Daphnia pulex: one gene and its partners. The main gene of each other region encodes a partner of the protein of the gene in region 2 in a complex. Links are inferred from orthologs where the notes say so. Each region holds a gene or a part of one and is shown on either strand. Other genes may lie near its edges.

Evidence for each region.
Region 1: ruvB-like helicase 1 (region 2) and inhibitor of growth protein 3-like share a complex: the UniProt entries of both Homo sapiens proteins name them as parts of the SWR1-like complex. The link is inferred for Daphnia pulex from reciprocal best matches to the Homo sapiens genes RUVBL1 and ING3.
Region 3: ruvB-like helicase 1 (region 2) and prefoldin subunit 2-like share a complex: the UniProt entries of both Homo sapiens proteins name them as parts of the PAQosome complex. The link is inferred for Daphnia pulex from reciprocal best matches to the Homo sapiens genes RUVBL1 and PFDN2.
Region 4: the proteins of ruvB-like helicase 1 (region 2) and actin-related protein 6-like are in contact, whole or in part, in a cryo-EM structure (PDB 6IGM), measured with the Homo sapiens proteins. The link is inferred for Daphnia pulex from reciprocal best matches to the Homo sapiens genes RUVBL1 and ACTR6. Residues at the interface, in NP_003698.1 of Homo sapiens: Lys162, Thr163, Ala164, Lys165, Gly166, Thr167, Tyr209; in NP_071941.1 of Homo sapiens: Tyr217, Tyr300, Arg338, Cys339, Leu340, Thr341, Pro342, Thr343.
Region 5: ruvB-like helicase 1 (region 2) and chromatin modification-related protein MEAF6-like share a complex: the UniProt entries of both Homo sapiens proteins name them as parts of the nuA4 histone acetyltransferase complex. The link is inferred for Daphnia pulex from reciprocal best matches to the Homo sapiens genes RUVBL1 and MEAF6.
Region 6: ruvB-like helicase 1 (region 2) and mortality factor 4-like protein 1 share a complex: the UniProt entries of both Homo sapiens proteins name them as parts of the nuA4 histone acetyltransferase complex. The link is inferred for Daphnia pulex from reciprocal best matches to the Homo sapiens genes RUVBL1 and MORF4L1.
Region 7: ruvB-like helicase 1 (region 2) and p53 and DNA damage-regulated protein 1-like share a complex: the UniProt entries of both Homo sapiens proteins name them as parts of the PAQosome complex. The link is inferred for Daphnia pulex from reciprocal best matches to the Homo sapiens genes RUVBL1 and PDRG1.

Annotation. Positions count from the first base shown.
Region 1 is NC_060019.1:7,721,594-7,725,739, forward strand, and holds the start of inhibitor of growth protein 3-like, read right to left. Parts: upstream 2,801-4,146; 5' UTR 2,668-2,800; coding exon 2,640-2,667; intron 2,568-2,639; coding exon 2,496-2,567; intron 1-2,495. Other genes in the region: uncharacterized protein LOC124190484, read right to left, coding at 4,110-4,146. UniProt on the Homo sapiens protein: Component of the NuA4 histone acetyltransferase (HAT) complex which is involved in transcriptional activation of select genes principally by acetylation of nucleosomal histones H4 and H2A.
Region 2 is NC_060023.1:12,188,576-12,192,411, forward strand, and holds ruvB-like helicase 1, read right to left. Parts: upstream 2,679-3,836; 5' UTR 2,547-2,678; coding exon 2,406-2,546; intron 2,337-2,405; coding exon 2,208-2,336; intron 2,147-2,207; coding exon 1,972-2,146; intron 1,909-1,971; coding exon 1,537-1,908; intron 1,476-1,536; coding exon 1,372-1,475; intron 1,311-1,371; coding exon 1,021-1,310; intron 957-1,020; coding exon 797-956; 3' UTR 501-796; downstream 1-500. Other genes in the region: longitudinals lacking protein, isoforms A/B/D/L-like, read right to left, coding at 1-159. UniProt on the Homo sapiens protein: Possesses single-stranded DNA-stimulated ATPase and ATP-dependent DNA helicase (3' to 5') activity; hexamerization is thought to be critical for ATP hydrolysis and adjacent subunits in the ring-like structure contribute to the ATPase activity.
Region 3 is NC_060024.1:9,271,865-9,274,405, reverse strand, and holds prefoldin subunit 2-like, read left to right. Parts: upstream 1-1,274; 5' UTR 1,275-1,361; coding exon 1,362-1,519; intron 1,520-1,618; coding exon 1,619-1,742; intron 1,743-1,805; coding exon 1,806-1,988; 3' UTR 1,989-2,041; downstream 2,042-2,541. Other genes in the region: aurora kinase-like, read right to left, coding at 1-141, 204-338, 420-605, 737-804. UniProt on the Homo sapiens protein: Binds specifically to cytosolic chaperonin (c-CPN) and transfers target proteins to it. Binds to nascent polypeptide chain and promotes folding in an environment in which there are many competing pathways for nonnative proteins.
Region 4 is NC_060023.1:9,663,279-9,666,793, reverse strand, and holds actin-related protein 6-like, read left to right. Parts: upstream 1-1,211; 5' UTR 1,212-1,270; exon of another isoform or gene 1,271-1,303; intron 1,304-1,379; 5' UTR 1,380-1,387; coding exon 1,388-1,467; intron 1,468-1,528; coding exon 1,529-1,646; intron 1,647-1,707; coding exon 1,708-1,900; intron 1,901-1,964; coding exon 1,965-2,157; intron 2,158-2,228; coding exon 2,229-2,436; intron 2,437-2,509; coding exon 2,510-2,772; intron 2,773-2,853; coding exon 2,854-2,983; 3' UTR 2,984-3,015; downstream 3,016-3,515. Other genes in the region: carbonic anhydrase 2-like, read left to right, coding at 1-27, 94-244, 312-417, 479-706, 773-1,006. UniProt on the Homo sapiens protein: Required for formation and/or maintenance of proper nucleolar structure and function. Plays a dual role in the regulation of ribosomal DNA (rDNA) transcription.
Region 5 is NC_060026.1:14,091,069-14,093,731, forward strand, and holds chromatin modification-related protein MEAF6-like, read right to left. Parts: upstream 1,316-2,663; 5' UTR 1,248-1,315; coding exon 1,173-1,247; intron 1,107-1,172; coding exon 900-1,106; intron 842-899; coding exon 641-841; 3' UTR 501-640; downstream 1-500. Other genes in the region: V-type proton ATPase subunit D-like, read right to left, coding at 3-120, 229-269; histone deacetylase 8-like, read left to right, coding at 1,374-1,520, 1,654-1,828, 1,891-2,067, 2,126-2,197, 2,267-2,459, 2,531-2,663.
Region 6 is NC_060018.1:5,689,381-5,693,272, forward strand, and holds mortality factor 4-like protein 1, read left to right. Parts: upstream 1-1,215; 5' UTR 1,216-1,307; coding exon 1,308-1,359; intron 1,360-1,423; coding exon 1,424-1,538; intron 1,539-1,603; coding exon 1,604-1,699; intron 1,700-1,772; coding exon 1,773-1,924; intron 1,925-2,039; coding exon 2,040-2,164; intron 2,165-2,231; coding exon 2,232-2,333; intron 2,334-2,421; coding exon 2,422-2,513; intron 2,514-2,645; coding exon 2,646-2,748; intron 2,749-2,817; coding exon 2,818-2,887; intron 2,888-2,948; coding exon 2,949-3,033; intron 3,034-3,104; coding exon 3,105-3,189; 3' UTR 3,190-3,392; downstream 3,393-3,892. Other genes in the region: digestive cysteine proteinase 1-like, read left to right, coding at 62-162, 224-269, 369-584, 656-715, 837-1,021. UniProt on the Homo sapiens protein: Component of the NuA4 histone acetyltransferase (HAT) complex which is involved in transcriptional activation of select genes principally by acetylation of nucleosomal histones H4 and H2A.
Region 7 is NC_060023.1:8,880,313-8,882,591, reverse strand, and holds p53 and DNA damage-regulated protein 1-like, read right to left. Parts: upstream 992-2,279; coding exon 763-991; exon of another isoform or gene 700-762; coding exon 539-699; 3' UTR 518-538; downstream 1-517. Other genes in the region: intraflagellar transport protein 140 homolog, read left to right, coding at 32-517; hydroxyacylglutathione hydrolase, mitochondrial-like, read left to right, coding at 1,319-1,385, 1,460-1,572, 1,635-1,756, 1,823-2,049, 2,122-2,279. UniProt on the Homo sapiens protein: May play a role in chaperone-mediated protein folding.

The DNA of each region.
Region 1 (4,146 bases), on a different chromosome or scaffold from region 2:
AACCATTCGTCCGAAACCAAGTGGAGACGATACGAAAATTTTCACAACCCGAGTGGTGGAGACACTGTCCAGGTCTCCAAAATCCGGCCGATCTTGCCTCGCGGGGAGCGCCAGCGCCAACGCTGGTAACCTCAACTCTTTGGTGGAACGGCCCGATTTGGCTCAAAGGAGAAGAAACGGAATGGCCAGATTCTCCCAACGACCAAATTCCACAAACAATCCAGTCCGAAATGGAATCGGAAGCTAGGAGTACGACGGTCAGCACAACAGCAGCCATCGCAATTCCAACAGCCTCCGTCGACTGGAATCTCGACAAAATTTCCACCTGGAATCGACTGTTAAGACGTACAGCCTGGGTCTCACGATTCCTCAGCAGGAGTCAAAAGAAGCTCAGACCTCCCGGTCCAGAACGAATGGAGTCGATAAAGGCAATTGGACCAGATGGAAAAGGAAGTGGAAAAGTTATCCGGATTACAAGATTATCCAGAGAGGAGCTGGATGAAGCGGAACTAACGATCTACAGACAGCTCCAACGAGAGCGGTATCCTAAGGCGTTTGAATCGCTACAGTTAGACAACACAATCCAGCCCAAGGAGAAAATCGCTGCACTTTTTCCAATCTGGGACGCCAGAGACCGTCTCGTTCGAATCCATGGGAGAGTATCACTTGCCCTAAGAGATAGAAACATCGATCCCCCAATTTTGCTTCCTGCATCACATATAGTAATCACTTTCTTAATTACAGACAAACACGAGTCACTACTACATGCAGGAGCAAAAGTAACACTATCCGAGTTAAAAGAAAAATTCTGGATAGTTAAAGGACGACAGCAAGAACTAGCAGCCCCTCTTCCTTTAAACCGACTCAAACATGCGCAATCTTTTCACGTTACAGGAGTCGATTTCGCTGGACCACTGCTGTACAAACCAGCACAGCGAAGGAAGAAAAGGAAAGCTCCACCAAGCGTCCAGGATCCGACGCCAGCAGACGATCCAACTGAAGAGCGAATCGAGGAGCCACCCGCTGAAGGAGACGCTCCAATCGAAGCTCTAATCGTAGGCGAAGAGGATTCAGTCGAAGAAGATGTCGAAATCCAAGACATCTTAATAACAACAACTAAAGCTAAGAAAACGAACCATCTTAAAAGTTATGTTTGTCTTTTTACGTGTGCAGTCACTCGAGCGGTTCACTTGGAACTACTACCCGATATGACGGCGCGTTCCTTCTTACTAGCCTTTCGAAAATTCGCAGCTAGACGAGGACCCGTCTCAGTGATGTATTCGGACAACGCGCAAACGTTCCGATGTGTCGACCGATTCCTGAGAACTATTCACGCCGATCCCATCATTCAAGACTTTCTCGCGTCCAGAAAAACCCTTTGGATATTTTCCGCCAGCCTAGCGCCATGGTGGGGAGGATTCTGGGAACGGATGGTGAGGAGCGTCAAGGATCTGCTGCGACGCTCCAACGGTCGAGCCTGCCTTGACTACATGGAACTGGAAGCGAGTTTAGCAGAAATCGAGAGCGTAATCAACGCCCGCCCACTCAGCTATATTGGGGAAGGAGCTGACGATCCACTTCCGATAACTCCTAACCAATTTCTAAACAACAGACGTTCTACTCGTGCCGATCCGGAGCCAGCCGTTAACTTGCTGGATCCTACATCGACCAGCATCGTACTACAAGAGATGGACAAGAACAGGAGGGAATATGTCGCTGACATCTGTGCTAGATTCGTCGACGATTATCTACTCCAACTAGACAACTTCCACTCCAAAGGAAAATCCGGAAGGAAGATCCGCCTAGGAGAAGTCGTTGTTATCCACGACGAACACTCCAAACGACTCATGTGGTCTACCGGAGTAGTGAAGGAACTGATTCCAAGCCGCGACGGACTCATCCGTTCTGTCATGCTCAAGATTCCAAATGGTAATTTAATTAATAGAGCCATTCAATGTCTTCACCCTATAGAGCTGCGAGAAGATCTCGCCGAAGACGTCGAAATTGGAAATCCGGAACCGATCCAGGAGCCGGAAGAGGATCCAAATCCAACTCTGCCAGAACCAGAAATCGATCTCGCTATCGGAGACGCTATGCCAGCTCCCGAAGAACCGGAAGACGTCGTCGAAGATGTCGAGCCGGATGCTACGGGCTCTGGTGGGGAGTGTGTTAGGAATATTCCATTCCAACAGACGACGACGAGATCAGGGCGCCGCACAACAACACCGGCGCACCTACGCGACTATTGCCTTGGGGGCCCCCGATAGGTGGCCCCAAATTCAGTCGTTGGTCCCCAAATTCAGTCGTTGTTTCCCTACCCCCCTATTGTTTATTCCCCCCCAATTTACTGTACAATATTCAGTGTGTTAAAATAGACGAGAGGTAAAAGACACGGTTTTGTTCGTGTCTAATTTATTCAACTTGGAAACTGTAAGTAAACGGCCCGACACGCCGAACATCCCTATTACATTTTCTACAACTTATTCGAGAGTTACTTTGAACTTGTAAATCCATTTCGCGCATTTCAGTAAATCGATCCCTCAGTTCTTGGGGCAAATGCTCTATCACTACAATGGGGAGATGGTAATTTAAAAATTTTAATCAGGGAACTTTATCATCACTTGAAACACTCATCATACTTTCCAAATAATCTTCTAAGTACAACATTTTGGTACAAATTGATTGAAATCGACAATAAAATTTATTTAAGTTTTGAGAAATTTTCTTTTTCTTATACGCTTTTGACGGATGGCTTGGATCACTGCTTCTTTTCTGCAGTTGATCTACAGGAATCTAATGTGATGACGCGAGCGAGTGAATGTCTGCAGATTCCCTCTAGCGAGCAATTTGGTCACTAGGAGTTGTGCTCACTTGGTCTAGTGTTAGCCTACTGCCGCCTACTGCCAGTCCTAGTTATACTGTAGGCAGCGTACGTACGCCGCAAGGTACCCGAAGGGAATGTTAAGGGTATTCTAGTTGGTATAGTAGTATTGGTATAGTTTTACAAAGACAGAGCTATAGAATAGTTATAGAATAATAAAAATATTCTGTTATAAAGGTAGGCCTATTATTAAGATGGATTAATAACATTTAAAAAAAATTTATGCCCTTAGTTTCCGGAAGATTGTAATAAGCATAAATCGAGAAAGAGATTAAAAGAATATTTCCGCGTGACTTTGGTGCGGCGGAGGCTTCGCCCCGCCACCCCACGTCACACCGGATCTTGTTAAAATTAAATTTAAGTAACTACCTATCAGCACTTCTGTTACTGGAGATTGATAGCGTTCGGTGATAACATACAGTGACTTCTATTCTATCATACAATAGTAGTCGATTGTCACGTTACGTTTATATCCCTGTCACATGTCTCTGTATTATCGTCTGCTGTAACAGCTATTGAAATTCTGTCAAAAAGTAACCAGAACTCCGTTTGATCAAATGCCTGAATTGATTGCAGCCAAATTTTCAGAATAGATGTAAAAAATTGTAAGCTACCGATTACTGCCATTGAAATGCAATAAAATTGTTGATTACAATCAATAATTGCCAAAAACTAGTGCATCCATCTATGTAGTGTTACGAGAACTGAGGGTGCCCATGTAAACCATACTGCAAACGAAACTTTGACCAGTAACCCTTCGGGTAATTTGTAAATATTGAAATATTTGAAATAAATAACATGAAAACTAATTAAAAGTGACATGTGTGCTTTGACTTTGTCTTGTCTTTGACTCAACTCATGTGTCTATGTGAAAGAGCCGTCTGAAAAGCGATCTAAATTGGGCTCCGAAAGTCCGAAAAAACCTTCTTAAAAAATCCGTGTCTTCGGAGTTCGGACGTCACCTTCTTTTTACGAAAAAATTTCGTTCCATCTTTAACAACACTCAGTAGATTTGAGTCCAATTTTGTATTTAGAACCTTTTAGAGATTGAATTTAACCATTCAGGCTTACAGAGAAATTTTCGCACGTAGCAGTGAATCGAATTGGTAGCCTGCCGCTGGTGTGATTTCCATTAGTGAGGGAAATATCTAGTGAGGGAAATGTTTATATTAAAATCAAAGATTAAGTTAAGTTAAATTATCTTCATTATACCTCATACCAGATTCGTTTATCGAAATATCTGTACTTGTCCTCCATTTCGACAG
Region 2 (3,836 bases):
AAGAACTAATCTGTGTACTTTTATGGATTGACCTTCAGCAGCCAGGACTACATCTACCAGACTTTCTCTCACGAGCAAAGAGTCGAGGACGGATACCAGAGTACTGTGATGATTGTTCCATTTGAGACAAAACTCTTGAATGTCGTGCTGGCCCATCATCGCAGGCACACACGTCCACCTGTTTTAATTCGGAAATGCACAACCAGACCCTTGGTATTTTTCACCAAAGCCTTCGTGAGATAACAACAACAATTCACCCCTATGAGAAGACCAATTTATGGCGTTGGCGAAATTCTGAGACCAGTAATTCGAACCAGCTTATGATCCAGTGAGTTAACAATCCAGCAGGTGTGTTGTGTATAAAAATTCACAAAGATTGAAAGACGCCATCTCTAACAAGTATTTTTCGTCTGCTATTTGGCGCGGCGTCGTTGTCAAATCAAAATATCCGAGGTGAAATTTTTCCCCTGTTCAGAATTCAATCAATGTTTTTAGTAAAGCTCGATCCATTTTAATGTATTTTAATCGTTCAAAACGGCTTCCTGTTTTTATTTTGTACACCCGTTTTTAGATGAAAGAAGTTAAAAGTCCGTAACTTTTGAGAGAGCAGCTATCCAACGACACCAAGTTTCGAATAGAAAAGCGGTACACAGAGCTAAATATGTTGGTCATGAGAAATGTGTTTAGAAAAATGGAAGCGGAGTAGCGTGACGAACTGAATTGGTTATTCGTGGAGGATAATTTTATTAAGAAAAATGGAAAGAAACACACAGACCAGCAAATTTGACTCGATTCCTCATTTCATGTACTTGTCTTTGTCTTGCGTCAGGATCTTGGCTGATGATTTGGCATCGAGAAACAGACCTCCGACTTCTTTTATATCTTCATTGGTGATGGAAGAGCGACCGTTAACTTTAGCTGTCAGGGCGCCGGGTGTAAGTAGCTGAACCGCATACCTAAACCAAGAACATTTGATTGTTTAATAAGATCATTTTTTTGCTTTACAATTTTTGTTCTTACCTCAGAGTAGTTCGATTGCCAAGTTCACCAAGAGCTTGGAGGGCATCGTCTTCAATGCTCAATCCTTCTGTTTTGGCACGAATGCGGATAATTTGTACCATCTCTTCGGCGGTGTACTTCATCGTCCGAAGAATGAGAAGTCTGTCGAGTAGATCAAGAGGAATACCATGTGGAGCCACAATATCATCGGTACCCCTGACTGTGCACATGCCTCGATTAGTGGCAAAGATAACGATGGGGGCGATAGCCGATTCCAGCGCTTTTTGGAGATAGGTAAAGCATTCCATGTCCTGAAATTCAATTAAAATCAATCACTAACTTTGAATATCTTTATTTTTATTGGTCTATTACCAGCATGTGAACTTCGTCGATGAATAACACGCCGGGTACAAGCTCTGCAATTCCCTGGTCAATGTACTTGTTGACTACCTTGTTGATTTCTCTCCTCAGCTTGTCTACAATTAAAATGTAAATTTAAATCTTGGTAAGCATTTTTGAAGTATATGAAAATATTACCTGTGATTTCGGTTTTTTTCGGCTTCATTAGCTGTCCCATCATGGAAAGAATGTCTTGGCCTCCCTGTGGGCGGGCATTAGCCACGTCCAAATCGTGTAGGGTGACGTCCTGGACAATTTCTTTCTTTTTGTGAACATCGCCTTTAGGAAGAGGGACATATTCTTCGGCTTCGAGATCGAACTCGGTGGCAAACGTATCAGATCGGCCTTGACGTTTAACCGCTCCGCTATTGGCTTCAATGTAAATGACGTCACCAATTTCAACACGTTCCTTCTGGAGAGATTCGTAGATGGAAGGATCCAACTTGAGCTGCTTTGTTCCTTTAGCCGTCTTCAGTCCAATGATTACATGACTGACAGTTTTGCCATATCCTGTAAAACAAATAACTGGTAGTAAAATTTGTCATAAAAATCAACTGAGTTGTTAACTTTTACCTCCCATAGGATTCTCAGTTTCAACTGGGGTAAGTTCAATGACTTCTCCTTCATAAACTTCTTTCGTTTCCTTGATACGAAGGCCAATAGCTCTACGAAAGTTTTCCATTAAAACTTCAGTTTTCTTGATTTCAGTGCTGAAGACTTCTGAGCCCACCATAGGACAAAAAGGAACCTGTATATGAAATTTTAATTTTCAATTTCTTCAACTTGTAAACAGTTAAAGCAGGACTGACCTTGTTGCCTAAATCTTGAGCAATTGCCATGGCGAGGGCAGTTTTGCCAGTTCCTGGTGGCCCGGCAAACAACACAGCCCTTCCAGCCATACGTTTAGACCTGATCAAATCCACCACCAAACCAGCTGCCTGTGAAATGTAGAGCAAACAGTTGTTGAGTACATTTCTCTTAGAAAACTGAAAAAAATTGTGTGTTACCTCTCTGGCTTGCGTTTGGCCAACAAGGCCGGCAGCGATGTTTATGGCATTGCCGGATTCATCCAAACCGAGACCCTTCACGTGGCTGTGAGCCGAAATTCTTTGAGTTTTGACCGTGCTTCTAACTTCTTCAATCTTCATTTTGTTATTTATAAAAGACTTGCAAATTTACAGAAAAAATGTGGACGCCTTAAGAAGAACACGAGACGAAGTTGCTTCAGGGTTTCTATGGTAACAACCGGCAGTCCCGCCAGATTAAACGCCACCTGGTAGACCTTGACTCAACTGTGTAGTAAAAGGATTTTTTTTTAAGCAGAATGTTTTTTGTTTTTTACCCTTTTTTAAAAGAAAAAGCACCATGGAAGAAAATTTACATGCAAATCATTCTGTAAGTTTTAAATTATCAAGCACCAGGATTCGGCAACCAGGCTATCGGGTTGATGGGGTCCATGGGGATTGGCTGCTCACTGAGATCTAAGATGATTTGAGTGGTTGCCGAAGCCGTTAAACGAAATTAAACTGAAACACCTGTCGTCTGGTAAACAAACAAGCTTGTTCTTTCTTCTATTCATTGATTCATTTCGATTTCATGTTTCACTGGGAAGTGCTAAAATCTTTTACATCCGTCGCAGTAGTCAAATTGTTACAAGCGTGTGACGAAAGTCGTGAAGTTTGTCTGCAGTTATTTCCTCAATTTCAAACACAAACAAACAATTAGCCTATACGAACCCCATTATAGACTTCAAACGTGCCTTCACTTAAAAGTACTAATTAAAGAATAGATCCAACAATAGTTTCGTTTATCTATTTCGTGTATGACCTACACATTTTTCATACACACGCAGGAATAGGCGAAGGAGAGGTGCGGCAAAGTAGACACGCTGCAAGTTCGATGACTTGACACATAACACGCATTGATGCTGTAGTCTTTTTTAGAATGTTGTCGTCTTTTTAAACACAGAGTAACAGAATATTTCATGGCTGTTGTTATTTTGTTGTCTGGTATTTTCGGCACATTGGAGAAAGAATAATGGAAACCGTTGTTTTCAAACTCGTTATCAGTAAATATTAGAAAGCTCGCTGTTTCACTGCTGAGCGCGAGCACTCGAACGTGAATGTGCCCTCAATTTTCTCAAACTGATTCTCATTAAAACATTATCTGGTGCATTCGCATGCGATTATTTGCTAACTAAACTCTCCTCGCTCCAGAAGGTCATATAAAACAAAAATGGAGATGAAACTACTACCAAAACACCTTTTCGTTTCGAAATGGATTAAATACTGAGCTCGATTTGACATACAGAACCCGTTACAAGGTATATTTTTATTTTAAAATGATACATCACATTCTTATCGGTTTTTTTAACAATAATTCTTTATTAATTAGTACTTCAAAATGCCTTCCGATTAAGAACGAGAATGATCTTTGAC
Region 3 (2,541 bases), on a different chromosome or scaffold from region 2:
ACGGACCAACCAAAATCGGCTATTTTAATTTCTCCATGAAATCCTAGTAAAAGATTTTCTGGCTTAATATCTCGGTGGATTACTTTCCGCGCGTGACAGTATATCAATGCATCAGCTAGCTGAGCCATGTAATTGGCCGTCCTAAAAATAGGGGTAAATTATTTTCCACAGAACTTATGTTTCTGTTATTTTAAAAAATTTACTGTGGTTCAGAAAAACGGCCATTGGGTTGGCGTTTCAGGTACTTGTACATTTCTCCATTTGCGGCGAATTCCAAGATGAGGTAAATACGAGTTTCATCATAAAAATATCCGTGCATGCGTAAAACATTGGGATGTCTACAGTAGAGTCGCAGAAAAGGTTGATGTGCATTAGTGATATAAATTTTCCATAAAACATGTGATCTCATTAGTATGTACCGTAAATGTGACTGGATTTCAATTTCACGTCTCAACTGGTGTTCCATCTGACATTTTTGTAGTTGAGATTTAAACAAAACCTTCAGGGCTACAATGTATTTGGTATTGATTTCTCTAGCCAAGTACACATTTCCAAACTTCCCTTTACCAAGAGGACGGCCAATTTCGAAGTTATCAAGACTCCATCTGGGTTGAAACAAACAAGCAGAGAAACACACATGATTTGGAAGATTAATGCCACAATTAAAATATTTAAGTCAAGAAGATAAATGAGAAACACTTTGTTGGATTCTGAAAAACAAAAAATTCTAACATACTTTGAGTTTTCCAACTTAACAGTAGGTTGGTTTGAAGAGTTCTCTTTAAGTGGCTGCTTGGTTTCCATGTTATCTGTCAATTTCAAAATCAAAACATGAAACATTTACAAAAACACGAAGTTCAAACTTACTTATTCACTTACATTTTCGTAAAAAACGTTTAGATTGGTCTAAATTTTCAAAATGTGTTGTAATTGTATATACCTGTATACCAATGTCTAAACTTCTAAACTCTAAAACCCTAAACCGTGGTCTACTACGGTGCTGCTGCTACTGGACGGTTTTGGACAAATGGGAAAATATTCAAACGGCAGAACAACCGGCGTTGCCGGTATGATGGTATTATGGAAATATTTTCGCCTCCTCCGTTTGTCGTTTTTCTCAGATTTTCTATAGACTTCGTCTTCGTGTCTAAGACTAATTTATTATTAAATTATTTCATTATCATTAAGACGATTATTGTTCTCGGTGCTCTGCAATCTGCAAATAGGCCTAAGTCAATTTCGACAATCGTCGATCGTCGACTTCGCTACATTCTACCGCTAGTCTCAAATAGGAACTAGGAGGGTAGGAAGTAGAATAGCCTGAAGTTTGTCTGCTGCTTAGTGCTTTTGATACGTAAAAAATGGCGACTGACGGAAGCAAAAAGCAAGCTAAAAATGCTCCGAAAAATGTTAGCAAATCGAATGAAGAAGTCATCCAAGGATTTCAAAGATTACGAACTGAACAGAGACAACTAGCTAGTAAATTATCTGAGCTCGAAATGGATCTAAACGAGCACAAGTAAGTTTTACCGGTTTCACTTTATAAACAGACTTCCATAGCGTGTAGAGGATAATTTACTCCTACTATTAACTATGTCATATTTTTTTTCTTACTCAGACTAGTAATAGAAACCCTTCAAAATGTGGATGAAGACAGGAAGTGCTTTCGCATGGTTGGTGGAGTACTAGTTGAACGAACTGTCAAAGAAGTTCTGCCTGCACTGACATCAAACAGGGACCAGGTAACTTGTTTTCATATTGTATTATTTGGTTGTAATTTTAATTACAATTTATTTTTTATATAGATGACTAAAGTAATTGAAGTTCTCAATAATCAAATTTCCACCAAGGGACAAGAAATTAATGACTTCAAGGAAAAGAATAATATCAGGATACGAAATCAAAATGAACTCCCATCTACAGCTCCTGATAATGAAGGAGAAAATAAAGTTGCCAATCAGGGGGTTTTGGTGGGCACCAAACCTTAACTGATATACCTTGTTTTGTATGCTCTGCTGCTGAAGAAAAATCAGAAAACATATGTTTTGCTTTTGCTTATTTTTATGAATCTAATACTTTCATCTGCTCTACTATCCTAATGGAAGGTTAGAGTACTAAACAATCTGTGTGATTTACCAAGAAAGCTTTTAAGAAGCTTAGCTATTCTAACTTTTGATGTATTTATGAATTACTAGCAGGAATTATTCTATTAGATTTCTATTGAATGCACAATAACTTAGTTTATCTCTGGTTTCTCCGAAGAGCGACAACGCTATAAAATCATATGGATTTGAGATCACACCGGATTTTAAACCAATAATTTTTGCTGCTGCGAACTGTTTAGTTTGTGTGTAATATTTGAAAAGTCAAAAGTGTTCCCCACAAAATTGCTTTGGCGCAGTTCTCCGTAAAATTTGTTTTACAGATAAGTAAACAATGGTGATCAAAATATTTAATTTATTTTCTAGGTGAAAAGTTGGTCTAGACAGTCTACTTATGCAGTATACACCAAAACGATTCGACGACGATGTGTGGGAATTG
Region 4 (3,515 bases), about 2.5 Mb from region 2:
TGACTGTTACCAATAATGGACACACAGGTAAGAGGATACACGAATAAAATTATTATTGTTGTTTTATGTTTTTATATATTGTGGCTTGCGCAGTGTTGTTTAGCCTTCCCTCGAGCATTCCGGCAGAGTCTATACCCTTTATTACCGGCGGCGGATTATCAAATCGATACAATTTCGTTCAATTTCACTTTCACTGGGGAAATGATTCATCGCACGGCAGCGAGCATCGAATCAAATCTAAAAAGTGCACATTTAATTTAATTTTTTAAATTATTGTGGAAATTATGATTATTTTTAAATTATTTTTAAAGATATTCGGCTGAACTTCACTTGGTTCACTATAATACCAAATACGGATCGTTCTCCGAAGCGACGAAATATGATGACGGTCTAGCCGTTTTGGGTGTTCTCATTAAGGTTTGTTAATTTAGCTAATCTTCTTAATATTATTCGAGTTATTCTAAAACAAATGTCAAAGGTAGGGAAAAAGATTAATTCAGCATTCCGAGCTGTCGTTGATCAGTTGAATGAAGTTGACGAAGACGGTGACGAAACGACACTGGTAAATCTGATTTCATTTAAAGATTTATTACCGTCTCGAACCACCACATTCTTCCGCTATTCCGGTTCTTTTACAACGCCCGGATGTGAGGAAATTATTATCTGGACTGTTTTTGATGATTCCATCACTATCTCCGAGAGCCAGGTAGAGATTCCTTCATGTTTAAAGTATTTTTGTTTTAATACTATTATCCAAAAAAAAAAATTACAGCTATCGAAATTTAGACTTTTAAAAGGAAGAGATAGTTTAACTTTGGTAAATAATTACCGGCCCGTTCAGTCGTTGAGCGGACGCACCGTCACATATAGATCTCGTTCCGGATGTCATATTACGATAAACTGGTCTCATTCTTCCTCACCTATCGTCGACATCTATCAATATAGCACATGCGTATTTTCTTTTTATGCAAATTCTTTCCTAACCATTTTAGGTGTAAATTTATAACAGTGACGCATTATTTCATTTTTCTAAACTGCATAAATATTAATGAAGCTAAATAAATCGAAAATCTACTTGATTCATTGATTGTCGACCCGAAATTCTAAACTGCATAAATATTAATGAAGCTAAATAAATCGAAAATCTACTTGATTCATTGATTGTCGACCCGAAATGAACGAATTAAATAAAACTGGGACAACTTCACTAAATTGCGCATTTGCTCATTTGTTATTATTGTTTTTCGTTTTTCGACGCAGCGTTTGAAAGGTTTTTTTCTTATTTTACTCCAAAACTAATAATGTATGTTTTGATTTAGTAAAAAGTTATTGTAACAGCTTAATATTGATACAAAATGCATTTCCTTCTCTCCCACTAGCATCAACAATGGCTGCAAAGCACATTTTTGTGTTGGATAATGGAGGATTCAACATCAAAGCCGGTTTTGCAAATAATGCAGAACCCCGGTAAATATAACAAAGATTCATAATGTTTTCGTTTAGTATAAACCATATCCACCCTCAATAGTGTCATGCCAAATGCAGTAATGAAAGCAAAAAGTGAAAGAAGGAGGCCTTTCATCGGTGACCAGCTTGATGAATGTCGGGATGTTTCTGGTCTCTACTATATACTCCCTGTTCAAAAAGTATGCAACTTAATTACTTCACAATTTATAAAAATGAATTTACTATATCTTTTTAATTTAGGGCTATCTAATTAATTGGGACACTCAGAAAGATGTTTGGGATTACTTGATGGGAAAAGACTGCTTTAATGTTCACATCAATTCAACTTCACTTGTTTTGACTCAGCCATATCTAAATTTCCAGTCTATTCAGGAAGGAATATGTGAATATTGGTTTGAAGAAGTGGAGTGTGAATCTCTCCTGACAATTAACCGTGAGTTTTTGTCTCTGGTTAATTAATTTAATCTTTTCCTCATGGAATTTTAATGTTATTACAGCTGGAACTTTGAGTGCCTACAAATATGGAAAAGAGAACCCTTCTGAATTGTGCTGCTTGGTGGTAGACTGTGGTTACAGTTTCACACACTTAATCCCTTATGTACAAGGAAAGAAAATCACAGAATTTGTTCATAGGATTGAAATTGGCGGCAAGGTATTAACCAATCATCTGAAAGACATAATTTCCTATAGGTAACCTTCACACACAAGTTATAAATAAATAACAAGTTTTTAAAATAGTATGTTTTAATTGCCATTTACAGGCAATTGAACGTCATGGATGAAACGTACGTTATCAACCAGTTGAAAGAAGACACTTGCATTGTATCCACAGATTTTAATAGCGATATGGCGTTGTCTCAAAAGAGAGGAAAAGACAATCCGTTCGTTGTAGACTACATCCTTCCTGATTTTACAACCATTCGTAGAGGCTATGTGCGACCAAAGGACGAAGCAGGGTCCGGCGAACAGGTCTGAAATTTTTTGCTGATGCCAGACGTTTTTGTTCAAATGTTATAATACATTACACTTTTCGTCTTGCTAGGTTATCAGGATGAATAACGAACGTTTCGCTGTCCCAGAACTGTTGTTTCATCCATCTGACATTGGAATCCAGCAAATGGGAATATCCGAAGCCATTGTTCACGTGATTGAACAATTTCCTTCCGAAGTTCAAAGCCATTTGTACAAAAATATTTTGCTGATCGGCGGATCTTGTTCTTTGCTCAACTTCAAAGAAAGGGTTGAAAAAGATGTTAGGACGATGGCTCCGGCCGAGTGCGAAGTCCGTATCAACATGGCATCCAAGTAAAATACAATATTTTACCATTCATTTATTTGAATCGACATTAACCATCACCCAATATCTCATCTTTCAACTCCTTATAGTCCAGTCACAGATGCCTGGCGAGGAGGATGTAGCTTAACTAAAGATCCTCAATTTTCTTCTCAGTTGGTAACACGTCGAGAATATGAAGAACATGGATTTTCTTTATGTCTTCAACGTTTTGATGTATGAGTTTTTCAACAATAAAATGTATTTCTTTTTTTTCATCTTTTTTCGTCTTTTTTTCATGTTTATTTTATTTTTTTCAATTATTTTATTTTTTTTAAAGTTTTTGGTTTTTATTATTTAACTGTTGCAAAATATTACCACTAGGTTTGAAAAAGATGCCTCAGGCTCTTTCAACCCGGCTGACATTGCACAAATCAGTGTGAAAAACAGCTGAGTGGAAGAATGTGCTGGTGAAACTGCGTCACGGTATTTATTGAGACGTTTTATCTCAAAAGAGTGTTGCTATCGTGAGAGAATAAAATAGCGGTTGCTTGTAATCAAGTGTCTACTGCGGTTTTGAAAAATTCACAAAACATATATCCCACTCTACTTGAAAACGTTCCAGTGCTGGCAGCCTGGCACGTGTTGATTCTCGTCGAGTGAGCAGCTAGCCGGTAGGGAATATCTCGATAACAAGCAAACACATTTTTGGTAAGTTGAGAATCACGACTTTTTAGTAGTTCTTGTTTATACATGTCTTTTAGAATATTGAGAA
Region 5 (2,663 bases), on a different chromosome or scaffold from region 2:
ACATCAATGATCTTTTTCAGGATTGAGCGGAACCTCATTTGAAGAGCATCTGCCTTCTTTTTAAGAAGACCATGGCCTTTCTGTGCACCGGCAAGCCGATGTTTCATCAAAGTCTGTGCTCTGATTGTGTCAAGAGAAAGGAATTAAACCAAAAACTTGAAAGTTGTTATTGAGCTCTAATATGTTCTAAATTACAACTGAATCGTCTTAAAGATAAATATGACATACCCTCGAGAAGGAAAAATGGCAATTTTGTCTTTTCCCGACATTGTGTGATTAAAACTGGATCTGAATAATACAATACAAACGAATAGGGTTCGTAAGAGGGTTTAGTGTGTGGTTACCGAATTTTGACAAGAATCATCTGATCATGTGACAACAAGAGAAGGAAGAGAGGGGGAGGAGCAAATGAGCTTTCAAATCCATCTGGCGATAGAAGGATGAAACATATTTACGTAATAAGTCTGAATCGGAAAATGAATTGCGAGAACATTGGAATGTTTAATTCGAGCATTTATTCAGAAAACCAGAAAATTGACACACAGACATAAAGTTTGTTTAACACTTAGGAAGGTACATTCATAAGGGCATTCACGAAACCATGTTATAGAGAATAGGAAAATGAACAGTGAATATGAAATTATTTCAGTTTTGACTTCTTGCTCCCTCTTTTATTTATATGTCTGGATTTTGAAACTTTTCCTAACTTATCACCATTGACCCCCTCTAAACCGAGAAAATCTCTGCTGTTTTCGTCACTTCCACTCATTCCTGCTTGTGATTCAGTTTCACTGCTTCGTTCTGCTCTCTCAGAATTCAGATCAATGATCCCGCTCACAGCCTAGGTTTGAAAGAAATTTTATTTCTGTTAATTCAGTAGAAGTGTCATGCAATTCTACCGCCATAGAAGTAATTGAAGACTTGGAGAAAAGTCTTTCATTTTCCTTGAATTTCCTGTTCCTTTTGTCAGATGAAGGGTTTGACAGTTTGCTAGTACTGTTTAAATAACGGTCCCATCCTCGAATAATATTTCCGTAAAGCTGTGTATCTTCCAGGTAACTACCTTCGAATGCATAAATTTGTCTTTCCAAGTTGGCTAGGGTTTCCTACAAAACACAAATATAAACAATGAAGTAGGCAGTTTTTAAGGTTAAATTTGAATTCATTCTTACGGCGACTTCGATTCTTCGTTTGACGAGGTCAGAAAGTTCAGATCGTAAATCGGAGCTGGATGTATTTTTAGTCATTTTACAAGCCAAAATTTCGCCCTTTTCTTTTGTTGTTCAGGCGATGCTGGCGGCCATTTAATTTCGGGTTTCTTTATTGTCCGCCATGTCGCTAGTGAACGTGGCGGTGCAGACAACGTTATTCAAATGGCGGGTATACTGCCGGACGAAAAAAAGAGCTGTGATGATAACGAGGAAAAAATCATAAAATGTCCCCCTAAATCTAAAATTGGCTATGTATATTCACCGGAATTAATTCATCAATGTAATAGAGTACCAAACCTGAAGAACAGGGTAACATTTTTTTTCCATTCACCACTAAAAAATGTCACAGTTAAATTTTGACATACTTAAGCATTATGTACAACTAACTTTCAATAGTACATATAACGTATTTTGATCTCACTTTTGCTTTGTTTCTTTTCAGGCCTCATTAGTTCATCATTTGCTGGAATCTTATGGACTCTTAGATCATGTCTTGCTTTTAAACTGTGATAAAGTTAATGATGACGTCTTTCAAGGATTTCATTCTGCCGATTACATTGAATTCCTCAAAGGTGATGTGGATGTAGAGGATGAATCCAGTGAGGAATATGGTTTAGGTAATATGAATATGGAAACATGTAATGGAAATGTTAATTTATCACATTAAAATCTAATCAAGGATTTGACTGCCCCCCACTTGACAAGCTTGATGACTTTATCTCTGTGATAGCTGGTGGATCTGTAGCAGGAGCCAAAGCACTTGTTTCTGGATCTGTTGATGTGGCAGTAAATTTCTGTGGAGGCTGGCATCACGCTCAGAGAGATTGTGCATCAGGATTCTGCTACATCAATGACTGTACAATAATTTAATATTTTTATAATGAAAACACAAGGTAAAACTATTGGATTTTCAGGTGTTCTTGCCATCCTAGAATTGGAAAGAAAATTCAAACTCGTACTTTATATTGACTTGGATATTCACCACGGTAAGTCCAACCCTTTTTCAGTGTAAATGTATACAAGGATTGATACAAACCCATTTTTATTTATTTAAGGAGACGGAGTTGAAAATGCTTTCGCTTACAGCCGCAAAGTGTTTACGCTATCGTTACATAAACATGAAGAAGGATATTTTCCGGGTACAGGTTCAGTCAACGACACTGGTTTCGGCAGGGGTCGCAACTATTCATGCAATGTTCCACTCAGAGATGGGGCTTGCGATGAAACTTTCATCCACGTCTTTCAAACGTATAAATTTTCTTTTGTCTCCTTAAAACCTACAATGTGGTTCATCATCATTCATTCATCTGTGACAAAAGAGTTTTCCAGGAAGTAATGAAACGTTTTCGTCCGGAAGCAATTGTATGTCAATGTGGAGCAGATGGCCTAGCTAACGATCCATTAGGGACATTTAACTTGACACCCGTTGCATACGCCCGCTGCACCGCTGTC
Region 6 (3,892 bases), on a different chromosome or scaffold from region 2:
ATTTTCTTTTTGTTTAAATTCAATTTTTGTTTAAATAATGTCATCATTACAATTATTATAGACCAAAGTGTGTGTGGTTCGTGTTGGAGTTTTGGAACTGTAGGAACTCTTGAAGGAGCCCTCTTCCTCAAAACGGGTAAACTGACTCCACTCTCACAACAGGTAAATTAACATCAAATATTTTGTTTCAATGAAATTAATGATGGGAATATGTTTGTTTTAGGCTCTTGTTGATTGCAGTTGGGGTTTTGGCAATAACGGTTGCGACGGTATGTTATTTCATTTGAATATATTTTCACTTTTTCTTCTAAAGTTGTTCTTTGTTTTAAATTTTACCATTTCTTCGCATAATTGTTCGTCAATTAAAGGTGGTGAAGATTTCCGAGTATACCAGTGGATGATGAAGCACGGAGGTATTCCTTCAGAGGAGAGTTATGGACCTTACTTGGGTGCTGATGGTTATTGCCATGTAGACAATGCGACTCTCGTAGCCTCCATTAAAGGCTATGTTAATGTAACATCAGGAGACGTCGATGCGTTGCGTGTTGCCATCTTTAAGTATGGCCCAATCTCCGTTGCTATCGGTAATAAAACGCGGAGGAGTTGTAGTGAAGTCAGGTGGTAATAATTTTCTTTATCGAAACTATTAAAATAGATGCTGCGCATCGTGCATTTTCTTTTTACGCCAACGGAGTTTACTACAATCCTGAATGCGGTAATAATTTTTAAAATCTCGTAATAATATCATGCAATTACCTTTTCTAAAAGAATACTTTCTTTCTTTGAAATCTGTGGCACCATCACACTCATCCTTGAATTACTTTTTTAAACTGTAGGCAGCGGAGAAGACAGCTTGGACCACGCTGTTTTAGCTGTAGGGTATGGAATTCTAAAAGGCGAGCCATACTGGTTGGTAAAAAATTCGTGGTCGACTTATTGGGGAAATTCTGGGTATGTTTTGATGTCACAAAAAGAAAATAATTGTGGCGTCGCGACTTCACCTACTTATGTGATCATGTGAGATTCCAAACATTAAATTTTGTGTTTGCTCCCATCATGAGTAGAAATCTATAGAAAAGCTTGGGAAAAAACAGTAAACATGGATCTCTACGTCTGAGTTTGAATAAAATTGATTGTGGCTATCAAATATTTGTCAGCTGCTATTAAAAAAAAAAAATGTGCTTCGATTTTTTTTTCTTTTTAAAAATTGCATTTTGGCGTTCTGACGTTCTTTTAATGAAACGTGCACCAACGCTAGGTCACGTGACGTAGCAACTAGCAAGTTGTAGCGTCTGCTTTGAACAAAAATGGGTCCCAAAGCTCAACAGAAGCCAGCAACAGAATTCAAATTTAAAGAAGGTTTGTTTTATTAGTCAAATATATCTTTGGATAACTAAATTTAAACGATTAAACAAAATAATAGGGGAACGAGTTCTTTGTTTTCACGGTCCGCTTTTATATGAAGCCAAAAGCCTCAAAGCAGAATTCAAGGATCAACAGAACAAATACTTGATACATTATGCTGGCTGGAATAAAAAGTAAAATCAAAGTGAAATTTATATTGATGAAACTTCCATAACATTTTCCTCTGCTGTTTATACAGTTGGGATGAGTGGGTGCCTGAAAACCGTGTGCTGAAGTACAATGACCAAGCTCTTCAAAAACAGAAAGAACTCCTCAAAGCTCATGAAGCTACATCGTAACTATTGACTTTCATCAACGACTAAGGCTGATTGATCATCTTATTTGGTTTTTCAATTTCTTTGGAACAGGAAAGGAAAGAAACAAATCAAAGGTGTTTCTACCCCTGTTGGCAAACCTCCAGGCCGAAGATCAGAATCATCTAAAGGTGGAGGCAACCTGTCAGATGCTAATACATCAGGCAAAGAAACAGATAGTAGATCTTCTACACCATCACTTCAAGGTACCTTGTCAAAAGTGGTACACATGATGCCATTGTCAGACTATTTGTCTTTCCTTGAAATCAGTCAAGATCAGTGTTACGAAAAATAACATAAAAATTGCTTATATTCCAACAGAAAAACCCACCAAAAGACCTGCCACAGCCTCTACGACAACAACACCTTCTACCACCACTGCTGGTACAGCATCATCTTCTGAAAGCTCAAGAAAGAAGACCAGACCTGACTCTACTGTTGAATCAGTGAGATTTCACATACACTTTCTAAATCTTTTCAACAATGTAGCATTAAAAAACCATTTACTTATAGGAAGAACAGTTTTTATCCAAGGTTGAAGTGAAAATAAAGATTCCAGATGAGTTGAAACCCTGGCTTGTTGATGACTGGGACTATATTAACCGCCAGAAAAAAGTACGTGATTTGAAACGTTAAAGATATTATCTTTCCAGCAATATTTCACTGAGTCACCAAAAACTCATTTCATCCAATTACGCAACAGTTGGCGAACTTACCATCCAAAGTGCCCGTTGACACCATTCTAGAAGATTACATCAAGCACAAAAGCAGCAACCGGACGACCACCCCAAGCAAGTATGTCGCAATTCCGCTGTTACTGCTAGCAAAATGAATACCAATAGCATACATACATTGTGTGTATTTGCTAAACCAAGTGGAGAAACTTTTTTTTTATTTATTTCTTTCCTTTAATTCCTCCATTTTTAGAGAGAGTGCCATTCAGGAGGTCATGGCCGGCTTGAAAGAATATTTCAATGTAACGCTCGGTTCTTCGTTGCTGTATAAATTTGAGAGATTACAATATGCTGATGTAAGTCATGAAGTGAAATTCACAGTGATATACTATACGTTCATACGTTGATTCTTTATATGGCTATAGATTTTGAAGAATCACCCTGACAAAATGATGAGCCAAATTTATGGAGCCCCCCATCTTTTACGCATGTTCAGTAAGTTTCAATTGATTTCAAACCACCATTTAACATATTTAAAATAAACATTATCGTACAGCCCGGCTAGGAAGTATGCTGGCGTATACCCCACTTGATGAAAAGTCGATCCAACTGCTCCACGTTCACCTCCAAGATTTTTTAAAGTAAGTCTGAAAACGAAAGAAACATTTTATTTAAAGACGTTGATTTACATCGGCAGCTGTGATCACGACAGATACATGGGACGCAACGCTTCGACGCTGTTCAGTGCTCAGGATTATGGCAACGCATCGGCTGAATATCACCGCCGCGCTTGCTGAAATACCACGTCAGTGTATCTTTTTTCATTTTTTTTTCGTCGGAAATATTTTTTTCTTTCCAATGTCTCACACATATAAACGAGCCGATTTGAAATCTGGTAAACTTTAAAAATAAAGAAAGAAAAAAGTTTTTTTTTTTAAGCCTCATGTGTAACACAGTGACTTGCCATCGTGTAAACGTAATACATTCAATTGTTACGCGGTTTTTTTTACGGTTCTGCGAATTCTACCGATGACGCCAATCTCTTTGACCCAGCTGGTCTGTTTTTAGACAAGCAATTAATTGTCCTGTTTGTCGGATAGGGAGTCGAGAACAATCGTCGTGTATTATTTCCTTCATTGGGCTCGACATCCGCTCGGAATGGAGTGTGTGTCTAGAGATTTTCGGCTAGATTTTGGTAGTGATCCTCTCTCAAATTGGCATAGACAAAACTCGTGTGTGCAGTGAAAGTGGGCTTTTGAGATGGGAACAACACATCGTCACGGTCCAACTATGTGTACCCCGTCTTCCTCGCTCAGTATTTACTATCTGCTGGTCATTTAAACCCAAACATTGAAATGATAGCCGAGCTGTTCGTGACCGAGAAGAGAAAACAAAACGCTCGTGAGATGAGTGTGTCGTGTAGATTTTTGGGTCTTTGCGTCTATCTTTTTTCATTTTTCGGTGACTGGGCGGATGCAGCGAAGACGAGGGTGATAATAC
Region 7 (2,279 bases), about 3.3 Mb from region 2:
AATAGATACGGCAATGTGTTCTTATTATTAGGCCGAGGTTGATGAATACCAAAGCTACGACAACGCAATGAACGCATTGAAAGAAGCGCACAAAATTATGTCCAAAACTCCTGAAAGTAGTCAATCAACAAGATCTAAAGCACTTTATATGAAAATGGCTTTTCTGGAGCAGTTCATTAACATCAGAAAAATGTCTGCCACAAACCTACAAGGAATTTCTCAGTTTGAAAGTATCTTACAATCATCTAGCATGGATTTAGGCATTTTGAAACCAGGAAATGTTTACTCTGCTATTTTCCAACTTTATGTTGATCACCAAATGCACAATGAAGCCCTCCAAACTTTGAATGGGATGAAAGCAACTGTTCCAAAGTTCATGAATTATTTGGATCCTGACATGGTGTCTCAATTATGCCTAATTCAAAATGTGTCATCAACATTATATCTCGAACAAGGTAACCAAAATGGAGAGGAAAACTCAGAGGATATAAGAGAAATTATTAATCACAGAAAATAATTTATTGATGATATTCAGACTTCACTTAGAAAGTGCTTGCATTATAATCTCAGCTTCTTTAGATATTGGTTTTAAATCAAACCCTTTCAGTTCTGGTTTCCCTTCAAGATCTCTCAAATGTTTCACTTGTTCTTTAAGCTTGTTGCGATGTTCAGATATCTCTTGATCAACCTCTTTTAACTCTGCAGGAGAAAGGCGACAATTTGAATTAATTTTGTTGAAATTTAAATGCTAATTTTAAATACCTCGTTCCAACAAGTTTTGCGCCTTGGACGTCCTTATTTTTACGAATATGTTTCCAATCGACACCCATGCCTTTTCACTAGGTTCCAAGCCATTTTTCAAAGCCCGAAAAGCTTCCCGTGTTTTTTGGCGCTTGAAATCCAATGCTACTATCTCGTCTCTGGTGATAAAAATCTCTTGGGCAGCAGCTTCAGTTTGAAGTATCAACTGTTGTGTCTTTTCGAAATCCATGGCACAATCTTTTTGTTTAGTTTGAAAGTTTGAAGAGATTGTTCTTGTTTGCTGTTGTATCGTCTGCTATTCATTTGCCCCATTGCCAAAATTGACGAACAAAATCAAAAGAACCAAATTTTGTATTGTTTCTCTGTCTTCAGTAATTTTGTTACCTTTTATTTTATTGTAACTGTTCTGCATGATATCTTGAATATTAGAGTTTGATTCAAAACTGATAATCATTAATCAATCAAGCGCAATTTCAGTGTTTAACGTGTTAACACTGTCTGTCGACTGCTCTGTGAGAAAGAGCTATCGGCAAGTGGCTCAAAAACAACAAAACAGATGAATACTCTAGTTCGTCTTCTACCTGAATCGTGTTTGCAAGCGTTAACTGCGGCATATTTTCGCTGTACGTCTACAGTTTTTATTTGAACATTATTTTGTCAACAAATTGAACATTTTCTTAAAAATTATTCTTTGTAGTTTCTGCTTGGAGAGCCCTTGGTTCAAGAAGTCACAGCCAGCTCAAAACTTGTATTGACTCAAAGATGAAAGTCCATATCATTCCAGCTTTGCAAGATAACTACATGTATTTGGTATGCAAACTTTTTGGATTCGGCTTATCACATGTAAAATACATTTCATACTTAAACTATAGTTGGTGGATGAGAGCTCAAATGAAGCTGCAATTGTAGACCCAGTAAACCCTAGCAAAGTGGTTGAAATTGTAAATCAGGAAAATGTGAAATTGACCACTGTTCTTACTACTCATCATCATTGGTTTGTTTTATCATTAGTATAGTAAATTTTTAATTTAAATGTTTGGGATTTTGTTTTTAATGACAGGGATCATGCAGGTGGCAATGAAGAATTAGTAAAACTTGTTCCTGGGCTTGCAGTATATGGTGGAGATAACCGTATTGGAGCGTTGAATAAGAAGGTTTCTCATGGAGATAAACTTCAGGTTGGAAACCTAGAAATTCAATGTCTATTTACACCATGCCACACTTCTGGGCATATTTGTTATTATTTGCCCTCAAGCAGTGTCAATGGACAATCAGCAGTATTCACTGGTGAGTAAAACTTTGAAAATATTCTAGTGGTTAAATGAGTAAATATTTTCAATATTGTTTCTTCAATATTAGGTGATACTCTCTTTCAAGGAGGATGTGGTAGGTTTTTCGAAGGAACGGCTGATCAAATGTATCATGCATTGATCAATGTCCTCGGCGCTCTTCCTGATGATACTCGTGTTTACTGTGGTCATGAATACTCTTTGCAAAATCTAGCTTTTGGACTTCAT